2 linked regions of the Schizosaccharomyces pombe genome follow. The protein of the gene in region 2 interacts with the protein of the main gene of each other region in a pairwise test. Each region holds a gene or a part of one and is shown on either strand. Other genes may lie near its edges.

The links.
Region 1: the proteins of sfc9 (region 2) and sfc6 interact in a two-hybrid assay, tested with the Schizosaccharomyces pombe proteins (one study listed by BioGRID).

What each region holds. Positions count from the first base shown.
Region 1 is NC_003423.3:2,259,542-2,265,089, reverse strand, and holds sfc6 (transcription factor TFIIIC subunit Sfc6), read right to left. Parts: upstream 2,906-5,548; 5' UTR 2,877-2,905; coding exon 1,934-2,876; exon of another isoform or gene 1,892-1,933; coding exon 1,775-1,891; intron 1,732-1,774; coding exon 1,528-1,731; intron 1,481-1,527; coding exon 996-1,480; 3' UTR 926-995; downstream 1-925. Other genes in the region: hikeshi family nuclear import carrier Opi10, read left to right, coding at 60-90, 217-788; ATP-dependent RNA helicase Dbp7, read right to left, coding at 4,147-5,548. UniProt on the Schizosaccharomyces pombe protein: TFIIIC mediates tRNA and 5S RNA gene activation by binding to intragenic promoter elements.
Region 2 is NC_003423.3:1,371,056-1,377,366, forward strand, and holds sfc9 (transcription factor TFIIIC complex subunit Sfc9), read right to left. Parts: upstream 3,912-6,311; 5' UTR 3,881-3,911; coding exon 3,773-3,880; exon of another isoform or gene 3,726-3,772; coding exon 3,629-3,725; exon of another isoform or gene 3,589-3,628; intron 3,571-3,588; coding exon 3,483-3,570; intron 3,343-3,482; exon of another isoform or gene 3,284-3,342; coding exon 1,555-3,283; 3' UTR 1,433-1,554; downstream 1-1,432. Other genes in the region: isoleucine--tRNA(Ile) ligase Irs1, read left to right, coding at 1-1,297; U2 snRNP-associated protein Msl1, read right to left, coding at 4,258-4,365, 4,439-4,666; ribosomal protein arginine N-methyltransferase Rmt3, read right to left, coding at 5,286-6,311.

The DNA.
Region 1 (5,548 bases), 890 kb from region 2:
GACTACTCTATATTTTTTTGTTTCCTGCGTACTTGTAGTTCTTCTACTTAACGAAAATCATGTTTGGTGCCATCTGTGCTGGTCGATTAGGTATGTCGCTTCTCTGGCACTTTCGCACAATTTTTACATTAAACGAAGTTTTTTCACGCTAGAAGTTCAAAAATAAAACTTAAATAAATGTTTTTATTATATACACATAACTAATACACAATCTAGTGCAAACGAATTTGCAACAAGTCGCCGATAATCAATTTGTCTTCCAACTAGACTCTGCGGAAAGCTTGAATCACATTGTGGTTTTTCTTTTGCCAAACTCTCCATTCCCAGTCGGAATGGGTGCTAAGGTTTACTTTCAATGGCCTGGAAAGCCTTTTCAATTTTTAGGTTATTTGACAAACGAAAAGCCTAGTGCAATTTTCCGTTTAAAAAACACCATACAAACTCTTTCGGAAAATGAAAATTGCGTTGGAATTACTGCCATGTTAGGTATTAGTGTAGAGCCTTTGACCAATTTCACAGAAACACCAGCTGTAAGCACTTCAGCATCGAATGTCATCGCCAAACCCTTACCTCCCGTAACTTCTGTTGCCCAAAAAATTTTAACCAACTTATATAATTTCCTAGCAAGCTTTGCGACATCTCAACTTCCTCCCAACTCCATTGGGTTAGGTGACCTGCGGCCCAATGATACATTCATACCACTTCGAGTTTTTCAGGATTGGCATGCAAAATTTTTAAACAAGTTATCAAATAATCCAAACTTTTTAGATTCTGAAGATCAGATTTGACATTTAGGTTGAATGCCGTTTTTGAACCTCATTTTTATTTCCTACGAAAATTACCGACATGGTACATAAAACCATATCTTAATGATGCAGAAAAAATAGAATAGAATACAATGTATGTGTTTTTCTCCAAAAAAAAGTGATGAAACACAAATGCTAGATCTTATTTATAAAAAATCGTATATATTGTATTAATAAAGGATAATTTTATCATCTTCTTTCAACGGCTGAGAGATCTTCAACTCGTAGGATTCCGCAAGCCATACCACTAGCTAACCAACCAGCATAACCTTTGTTTCCATTCCACTCGACTTTGTTCACTTGGATTTGCCATGGATAAATATACATGTCTAGCTTTTTGGCTTTGGGAAGCCTTGGACGAAAACCATCTAACATACGATATGAATCCTGTTTTTCGCTATATTCTAACTGGAATATTCTATGCACATTAGCTTTTTGTTTGTGAGAGAATCCCAAAAGACGGAATGGATTGACGATCGTAACTATTCCATCCGAAGCAGCACACGCTACAAAAGGATGGAACTTGCTGTTTGAGAGAGATATTATTGAGCCGTTTCTTTCATCTAATAACTGTGTCGAAGTGCCTCGTAAAGATTCGATGACCACAGATTGAGATTCGCTACAGGAGATAATCGACTGCAACATGTTGTTCCAAGTGATTGTGTAACAAATATCTGATATTAAGTTAGTTCGGAAGAAGCTATAATAATAATAATCGTACCTCGTTTATGAGAAAGCGGTCTATTATCAATTATGGGATCGCGAATATCAAATATTCGAGTATAACAATCAAATGCAGTGGTCAGAAAAAGCCACGGAAAGTCATCCAGGCACTGTACTACATTATGTATGTAAGAATCATGATATGGGATGTAAAAAAGGGGACATTCCTGGCTGCTCAAAATATCCCACAGAGCTAAATAACCTTATACTTAATTAGTAACAATAATTTAGTTTAACAGGCTTACCGTTAGAGCAGCCGACCAAAATTTGATGTATATCGCCATGTTCTGGGGAAACCCATGTGCAACAAGAAATAAGAGAATCATTAAATCCAAAAGTAAAGTCTGCTTGTTCGACGAATACTAGTTCATGTTAGGAGAATGAAAAAAAAAGATGTTTAATACCATGAAATTTTACTGGTGATCGAGGTACACGAAGAACGCGCAGCTTTCCATCGCTGCAGACAACTGCTAAAAACCCAAGAATGGAATCTTCAACCGAAATTGTGGGGCACCACTCTAGTTGAAGAACACTTCCCCAATCATGGTACAATATAAATTCCGACTTAAAATTGGTTTTGTTTTCTAGTTTCCAAAGTTGAATTTGATTCCGTCCAGAAGTTCGCATAAATACTGATTCAGTAGTTTCTGAAAATTTTAGCATCCCTCCTACAGCTAAAAACTGTGTTTCTTTATTTGTTGGTAACCATGAAACAGACGATAAAGGAATCCCTGTATTCACCACAAACCCCGATTTCTGTGGATTTTCCTTAAAAGGGTTTACCGGTTGACAGGGTTCAACTTGCTGTGGTGATTCAAAATGGAAACTTATGCTTAAATTTTTAACTTCAAACAAATAAAAAGGATTTTCGGAATATGATAATAACTGCTGTCCGTCGAGATTCAGAAGTGTTTGCAACTTGGAATCAGACGACGTCTGACCTTCAAAGGAAGATTGACCAGGAGCAGTCTCATAATATTTCCAAATTTCGATTAGCCTCCTTCCTTTATTTAAAGATTCAACGTGAGTCCCGTAAGAATTTATTAACTTCTCTTCTAAACCTTTTGAACTTTGCTTTTTAGCACTTCCACGAGTAGTACTAGAATTCTGACTCTTCGGTTCATTCCCAGCGCCTTTGGAAGATGAAGGTGTTAAAGGTTGACTTCTAATAGGTTTTGAGGGGGTTCGACGAGTAGTACTTACCCTTTTTCGGTTTCTTGACGGTGTTTCTATTTCTATGTCTTCTTCAGACATAACGTTCTCTAAAACAAAATCGCCGTCATCATCATTATCTTCATCGTTTTTATAAGAGCTTGGATTTTCGTATTCCTTAGATTTAGGGCCCATACGCGTCAATATTCATTAGGAATGGTGGTGAACTTCATCAAAGCAATATTGACCTAATCAAAACCTCGTTTGCAAGTGCTCAAAGAAAATATTTATTTCAAATAATTATTCCACTTTGAAAAAATTAATTTGTTAAAAAATCCCAATTCTTAATTTGTTGCTGTTCGTCTTGGTTCAGCTCAATCCTGCTTTAATTGTGAGTGTGAAACTTAGACTTAACTTCAAACATTTGTTGGTTAATACGAGTCCATGCAGAAACTTCATAAAGAATAAATTTTGCAAATAGTTAAATTTATTTTAAGTATTTAACACATTCAATGAAATTCGATTGCTCTTTTTACCAGCCTATCTCTCCTCATTTTTAGTTCTGTTAACACGATTTTGTCAAAGGAAGTATTTCGGTAATCGAAAAAAATATATATATAGTTATATTGAATCTACTAAACGTTATGTGAAATGTTAGCTCAATTTCACTGGTAAATATGCAACAAATTTCTTTCAATTACTACGGGTTTGCTGAGAGCATTATTCTGACACTATTAAAGGATTATAGGGAATAGTATGTGATGCTACTATTAAATAATTTAATCAGTAGTTCAAACTTAATATTAGGAACCTCCTATAGCAGTTTTTTCTTGATCAAATCTTTAAATTTTGATGCTTGGATTTCATTATTTTCTAATTGTTTGTTTAATTTTAAAAAGAATTATCGTTAGGTACAAACGTCTACGGCCATACCTAGGCGAAAACACCAGTTCCCGTCCGATCACTGCAGTTAAGCGTCTGAGGGCCTCGTTAGTACTATGGTTGGAGACAACATGGGAATCCGGGGTGCTGTAGGCTATTCCTAACTTTTTTATTTTTTGTCTTGAATCTTTTAATAATTTAAAATAGTAGCTCCACAACTGACATTACAAATATTATTTGGATAAGGGATAGTGAGTCCTTGAAATTGAGTTATCACATAACGCAATGGTGCAAGACTACTACATAAGCAGCAATAGTAATATTATGTGGTGTTTGATATATCTCAGCTGTTATACATAACCTGTATAGCAGATACAATTGCCAAGCATTACCATGGCACGCCATTCATAATTCCTCTCAATACTTGTTTAGAAATGATAACTTAACTTCTCCATAATCACTTGCAAGAGATTTTATCTTCGAAAGATTGTTATTGCGTTTAAAAGATCGAAATTAAATTATATAAATATATACAAATGCCAACCAAAAACCGTTTGAACCTTAAATTTTACACAAATAATGTTTATCCTATATTGTGTTCCGTTGAATAATGTTCCATTGCTTTTCTGTGCATCAAAGCAGCAATGTCTTTCGATGATTTACTTTTACCTTTATCAACCGAACCACCCTGCTTTCTTGGCTTTGAAGAATTTGCACCAGATATTTTGCCCGGCGCTTCTCGCAAAGCGAAGGACTTAGCAATATGTCCCAAATGAAGGTCACGCATGTTAAAAATACTTCTTTCTGATGAAAGATGTGTTGCATAAGCCCTCACATAAGAAGTAAAAGCCCTTTTTGCAATATTCCTCATAGGTTCATTTTCTAATATAAAACGCTCCAATTCCAACTGCCATTCTGTTGCACGATCTTGCCAATCATTGGTGTTTGTTTTACCTTGCGAAAAACCAGCACTCAACAACCCAGATGGACCATTAGGCTGCTCCAATATATTAGCGCTAACTGAAGACTTTAACAAATTAATATATTCACTTTCCTTCGGGAGTAAAAACATAATAGCTGCACCATTGTGTCCAGCCCTAGCTGTTCTGCCAATTCTATGCAAATAATCGTCGGTACTAAACGGAGCATCATACTGCACAACCAAATCAACATTTGGCAGATCAAGACCACGGGCTGCCACATCTGTACACAAAAGTATATGTGAACCAGAATCTTCACTTGAAGAAAAAAGATTCAGCGTCGAAGTCCTGATTTGTTGAGACAAGGAACCGTGTAATCGGTATACATTTGATTTGCCATCTATTCTCAGAGCTGGAGCATTTGAAATGATATCACCCTCAGAGTCCGGTTTCTCTTTCACGGCCTCTTCCATTTCATCAGCGTTTATCGCACATCTAAAAGCTTCAAAGTGAAAATCAACACTATCTGAACAAGAAAGAAAAATTATTATTTTCTTATATGATCTAACATGACTTCGCAATAGGGCAACCAAGCTTACAAGCCTCAGTTTTGGAGGAACAACAACATATCTTTGAAGAAGCTGCTCGGGTGCCTGGCTATAACCGTCATTGGTTTCCTCCACAATAGATGATTTTAAGTACAAAGCATCTTTTAAAGCGGAATCACTTAAACGCTTTACGGTATCTTTCATTGTAGCGGAGCAAAGCATTGTAACCTTACGAGAAGGAATACTGAGATCCTTCTTAATAATACTGCTTTGTGATTCCAAATAAGATAAAATTTTAGTCAAAGTTTCTTCAAACCCCATATCCATCAACCTATCACCTTCATCCAAAACGACCCATCGTACTTGACTAACATCCAGTGCTTCCGTATTTTCTAAATGATCCGCCAAACGACCAGGCGTTCCAATTAAAATATTAACACCCTTTCGTATGCGAGCCTTTTCACTTTTTTTCTTCTCACCACCTATCACATTACAGGAGACAATCCAGTGTGATAAC
Region 2 (6,311 bases):
GATTCTTAAATTTAAGGAAGATGGTGTAAGAGAAGTTGTTACTAGAGTTTTGATTCCTTGGTGGAACAGTTATAAGTTTTTTGAGGCGCAAGCTGCTCTTTACAAGAAGGTTACTGGTAAAGACTTTGTTTTCGATGATGCTGCCACTTTGAGTTCCAATGTAATGGATCGCTGGATTTTAGCTCGTTGCCAGAGCTTGATTGGATTTGTTGATGAAGAAATGAAACAATACCGTTTGTACACCGTGGTCCCTCAACTTCTCGGTTTAATTGAGGAGATGACTAACTGGTATATCCGGTTTAACAGACGTCGTTTGAAGGGTGAAGATGGTGAAATTGAAACTATTAATGCTTTGAACGTTTTGTTTGAAGTCTTGTTCACGTTAGTTCGTATTATGGGCCCATTCACCCCTTTCATTACTGAAAACATTTATCAACACCTTAGAAACTACATGCCTATTGACAAAAATGAAATTTCACTTCGTTCAGTTCATTTCCTTCCTTTCCCTACTTACAAGTCTGAGCTTGATGATGAAACTGTTTTACGCCGTGTTAAGCGTATGCAAACTATTATCGAATTGGCGCGTTATGTTCGTGAGCAGAATAATATTTCTTTGAAGACTCCCTTAAAAACCCTTATTGTTATTCTCACTAACGAAGAATACTTGGAAGATGCTAAGCTCTTAGAAAGATATATTGCAGAGGAGCTTAACGTCCGTGAAGTAGTTTTCACCTCCAATGAAGAGAAGTATGGAGTCGTATACAGCGTTCAAGCAGATTGGCCTGTTTTGGGTAAGAAGCTTCGCAAAGATATGGCTCGTGTTAAGAAGGCTCTACCAAATGTTACTTCTGAGGAAGTTAAAGAGTTTCAGAAGAACAAGAAAATGGTTTTGGATGGTATCGAACTTGTCGAGGGAGATTTACAAATTATTCGTTCTGTGGAGGTTAAGAACGAGTTTTTGAAATCGAACACTGATGGCATCTGTATTGTTTTATTAGATATAGAGATCGATGCTCAGTTGCAAGCTGAAGGTTTGGCTCGCGAAGTTATCAACCGTGTTCAACGTTTGCGCAAGAAGAGCAATTTACAAGTTACGGACGATGTTCGTATGACTTATAAAATAAAAAACGATACTATTGGTCTCGAATCTGCTGTAGATTCCAATGAAGCCTTATTTTCGAAGGTATTGAGAAGACCCATCGAAAAGGAAACTGGTGCTGACGAGTCAAACATAATTGCTTCCGAAGAACAAGACGTGCAAGGAGCTACCTTCCTTCTCAGTCTTCTTAGGCTATAGAAATAGTTCAACTTCAGCAGAAGTATTCTTTCTCAAAATTTGTAGTCTTAGGAATGTATCTCGACTCCTACGTTTTGTTTATTATTTTATAATATAATGGATTTTCCTATGTACTACTCCTGATTTATGTAGTGAGAAATATTTAAGAAGGGTTTTGATTGTCAAAAAAAATAATAAATATTATTTACACACGTAACAAAAGAAAATAATGTTTCACCGGATATGTTATAAAATATTTTTGATAAATGGATGGAATATTACGAAACCAAGAAATGTCCACCGCAATAGAAGCAAATAGAAAGCTCATTTTGAAGATCTGCAAGTAAGCATTTGGTTTGGCTAGGGTTAAAAATGGCCACTATACTGTTGCACACAGCACAATATTTCGCAGCTTTTTGAGATAAAAGTAGCATGGTGACTGAGCAACGTCTCCAGACGTGTCCATTATCACATGTAGCTAATGATGTATTATTGAATTGAACTGTAGCTTCACATGCTGGGCAAGTTTCACTAAAATCTGAGGAAACTTCCAAGCTTTTTGCTATCTCGTTCGCTACTTCCATTGCAATCGGTACCTCAGCCAACTCTTTATAAGTAAATGATACAAAGTTTCTTAAAACAGCTTTGCAATCACTAGTTAGATAAGAGGGGTCAAGAGATATCTGAGAAAGTGTATATAACATAATGTATAGGGTTAATCGGTATCTCAAAGAATTCAGTAAAGTAGCGTCTAATGCTTTTTGTTTATAAACGCTCCAACCATATAAAAGTCTCATTGCATTCAATGAAGAGTCTAAATACAAATTTGAAAGAGAGGATATATCTATAAGATGCTTTAGCTCAAGGAAAAAATCATAATCCGTAACTAAAAAACTTGATAAGGAATTTGTAAGCATTGTAAAAATATCCGTTTTTTCTTTTAATGTGTCATTCATTAAAGAAATTTCGAGTAAACAACCGGCTGAAGGTGCTACACATAGGTTATTAAGTGAAGAAGTAATCATGTGTGAAAAAACGGATTTTGAAAAAAGAGATGGAATGAAATTAAAATAACTTCGTTCAGCTGCTGTTACAACGTAAGTAAATGAGGCCGGGTACGATATACTAAAGTGGAGAGCAGCAGAGGATAAGTAAGGAGAAGGGCAAAAGCCATGGATTTTAAGGGTCTTTATTGAATCATCTGAAACAGAGCCATAATTTTGCAAGTGATTGTTCAAAAATTTTTCAAGCACATGTCTCTCTGGTGAGTCCAACATCGATATTGAATTATCCAACAAGGAAAAAGTCTCTAAAGTTCCAGAATGTGTCAAGATGTAAACATATATGGTATCAATGTCGTTATGACCAAACAACACTCCAGAAGGAGAGCAAAGGGACAAAAGATTATGGTTCAAAAAAGAGCAAAACTTCCCTAATGACTTGTCATACCGAAATGCAAATAAATGGCCAGGATAAACTAACGCAAGGTATTCAACATTGGCTAATGGAGATGACCAGGCTAGCAGAGGAGAAAACGGTCTATAGTCCAACGAGAAAGGTAGCTCTTGCATAGCGGTATCAAAAGTGTCAGAATGAGAGCTAATAGCTATTTTTAAAATTCGGATTTCTCCATTCCGAGAAGAACACGATAGCAAACAGGTAGCTGAATCCCCAACCACATTCCAGCTGGAGAATGATAACTGAACTACCCATGAGCAATTCAAATCAAAAGACTTGAAAAATGGGGTAGATGAATGTGACATAATAGAGAGATGGACATGACCCGACTCTGCACCAAGTGCAAACAAACACACGCCCCAAGGTGAAGATGAAGGAAGACTTACCAAAGGCGACCATGCAACGCTATGAATTCGGCAAAGTTCCAAAGGATCGGAAGGTAAGTGAGTACTCATTTGTGCCACGCAAGTCCATTTTTGATGGAGAACGCGACTAGATGAAGAAAAGAAATACACACGATGACGATTAGTTAAAACAGTTAACAATGGACTAGCTGATTAGCGTTCAAATAAAAAGTAGAATAGAGAAACAAAACCGAATAAGACTTTATTTTAGGCATTGAAACGATAAACAAACTTTAAAAAATGAAACAAATTTCATAAAAATAGAAATATTTACGCACAAAAACACAAACCGAGTGGAATGTTAAGTAAAGTCAAACTCAAGTCTTCTCTTTTTAAGAACATACTCGTAATTGTCTGCGAGACCTGTTGGCGACCAGACCACATAGCGGCTTATGACACTTGGAGTTAGATCTCCTAAACGAAGCTCATTAGCTGTAAAACACGTTAGCTTTTATACTCTCATAAGCATCAAAGGGCATTGGGAACATACGAGCAAGCATTTGGCAATTTGGTAGTTCATCTTCCACATCATCTAAATAGGCTAGCGCCTTCATAAACTTAGGCGTATTGGCTTCAGTTGAAGGTACCTGAAGGGAATTAGCTAGTCTCGAACACGTCAATTTGAGATATGTACCAAGATTTGGACTTTTTCTGAATCGCAAAAAGCCAATTTTCCATCGCAAGAACAAGTACAGCTATACAAGCTTGATGGAAGAAAATCCAATGCTACATCCTTTCCCATTGTAAGAAAGACGACGAGCGATGTTGAAGCCAGGTGAACAATTCCATCAAATGCGTTAAAGTTCAGTGCCTTGCGCAATGCTAGTTGAGAAAGACTTGCATGAAAAATCCACTAAAATAGCTGTAAACAAGATGATATTGGACTAGAATTTTGCTTCATCTTATAAAACTTAGCAACAATGCGATGGTGTTATCGGTCCGCTTTACTGTCTGCAAACACTGACACCTGAAACAACTAAAACCAACAGGTATATACAGTGAAGAACAAAAAGAGAGAAAAAGGAAAACCACTCTTTATAACTCTCTTGACTCCAACAGGATCCCGAAAAAAGTTACCCTATATAAAACGATAATTGTGAATTTTAGAAAATGTACAGTTTACTCAAGGTCAGCTTCATCACGTAGCCGTTTTAAAGGACCTCTGCTGTCATTTTCGGCGACGATTCTTTCAATAATCTTACTTTTCGAATGAGCGTATTGAATTTTCTTATTAAAGATGTTAGTCAATCGTTTTTGTTTTTTTATGGGGATTAATGAGAAAGCTCATTTCACAGCATACCATTTCCTTTCCGAAGAATATGAAATTTTTTAAGGCCTTCATCGCAATTGCAGCGGCAGAGGGATCAAAGAATACAACATGAGCTTGACCTCTCATCTTGGGAGTTTTCAACGCGACAATATCAACCACGGTCCCATAAGTGGAGAATAGCATATATAGTGCTGTTCTTAAATCATTTTTATTAATTTTATCATTCAAATTATTCACATAAAGTGTATTTTGATTCATTTTCGCCCTAGTTTGGTGTTTTGCAAATGCTGAACTCTTTACCTTATATTTTTACCTGCAAACACTGCGCGCTAACAATCGCTATGAGTTAACTTATTGAATGGATTGTTGAAAAGGCTCGTCTTAATTACATTAAAATGCTAAAGCTTTTACATTTTTAATTTATCTTTTAAGGCTATAAATATCCATATTTAATTTTCCGGAACGAAATATGTTTATTTGCAATTCTACGACCATTGAACGCTAGTCATCTGAATTATGATTCAAGTCACAATTATTTTTAGAGATCCCTTAAATATAATCAAATCGTAACAAAAAATCAACGATAATAATAGTTCACGTTAAAAATCTTTCCCAAGCATTGTGCAGTTGTTGATAGTTTAATCCTTATGTACTCAAATTTCCATATTTAAAAGATTGAAAAAATGTTATTTTTTAGTAGTATAGAAAATAGAGAATATTTTAAGACTAGATGATTTTTTCGATCCACCGTATTCCCACTCTGGGGAAATAATTTTACAGGAAATGCCTTAAAACCCCAGCAAGATTCCTAATCCAAAAACCTACAGCATAGTAACATTAATCAGTAATTCTATATTTTTAAGTAAAGACTTTGATCCTAATTCAACACGTAGCTTTGAGAGTCAGCTTTCCCATTTACATTCCAGTGAACCGAAATGTCCAAATCACGATTGTTTTTTTTATTTTTTGAAAAGGAAATAGTTCCTTCAACACGAGTGCCTTTTTGAAGGAAAGGACGATTACGTAGTAACAAAACGCATTGTTTCCAATGAGTAGGAGTGCCTTGAGGGCCTGTTGTAAATCCACAAGCTTCATCAATAGCTTCTGGAATAGGCTGTGTTCTCTTAGTCGTAAAATACGTATCAAACCATAAAGTGAAAGCACAAAGCGGTCCTTCGTTGTCTATAATTAGAGAGAAGGGGGAAGTAAAACTGACATCTTGAACTTTGCACGTATGCATATTAAACCTTGCAAAAACAACAGGCTTGGCGTTAACATAAGTTTGAGGAACGACTTGTACACTAACACCTTTATAAGAAGCATCCTTCATGCCATTCATTTTGAAACCATACACATCGCTCCAGAAATCAATAGGTTCTTCTAACAATTCAGTGTTTGTGGTAGCTGTAAGTACCAATCGTGTCTCGGACGGTGCCATAATTCCAGAAGGTGCAAGGAAGCGATCTCTGGCAACAAGGACGGAATCAATCATACTCTCAAACGTTAGAGCATAGCCCATCCATTCCGAAATAATGATATCTACCTTGCCAACCGGTAAACTGATATCTTCGATTTTTCCACGAATAAAAGTAATTTGATCAGCAAGACCATTTTCAAAAGCATTTGAGATAGCCATTTGAATGATATCGGAGTTGTCCACAGCATAAACCTTCTTGGCGCCAGCCTTTGCGCAAAACATGGATAAAATGCCAGTACCGCATCCTACATCCAAAACCGTTTTTCCAGCAAAAATATGCTTATTATGATAAACGAAGTCACGGTATCCCTCGGTCCGGACAGAATCGTTTAGCATAAGGAAATGAATATCATTTCCAGCGTAAGACTCGAAATAATAAGAATCGTTATCTGCTTTCTTTGGGGTAACTGATAGCTGATCTGTAGT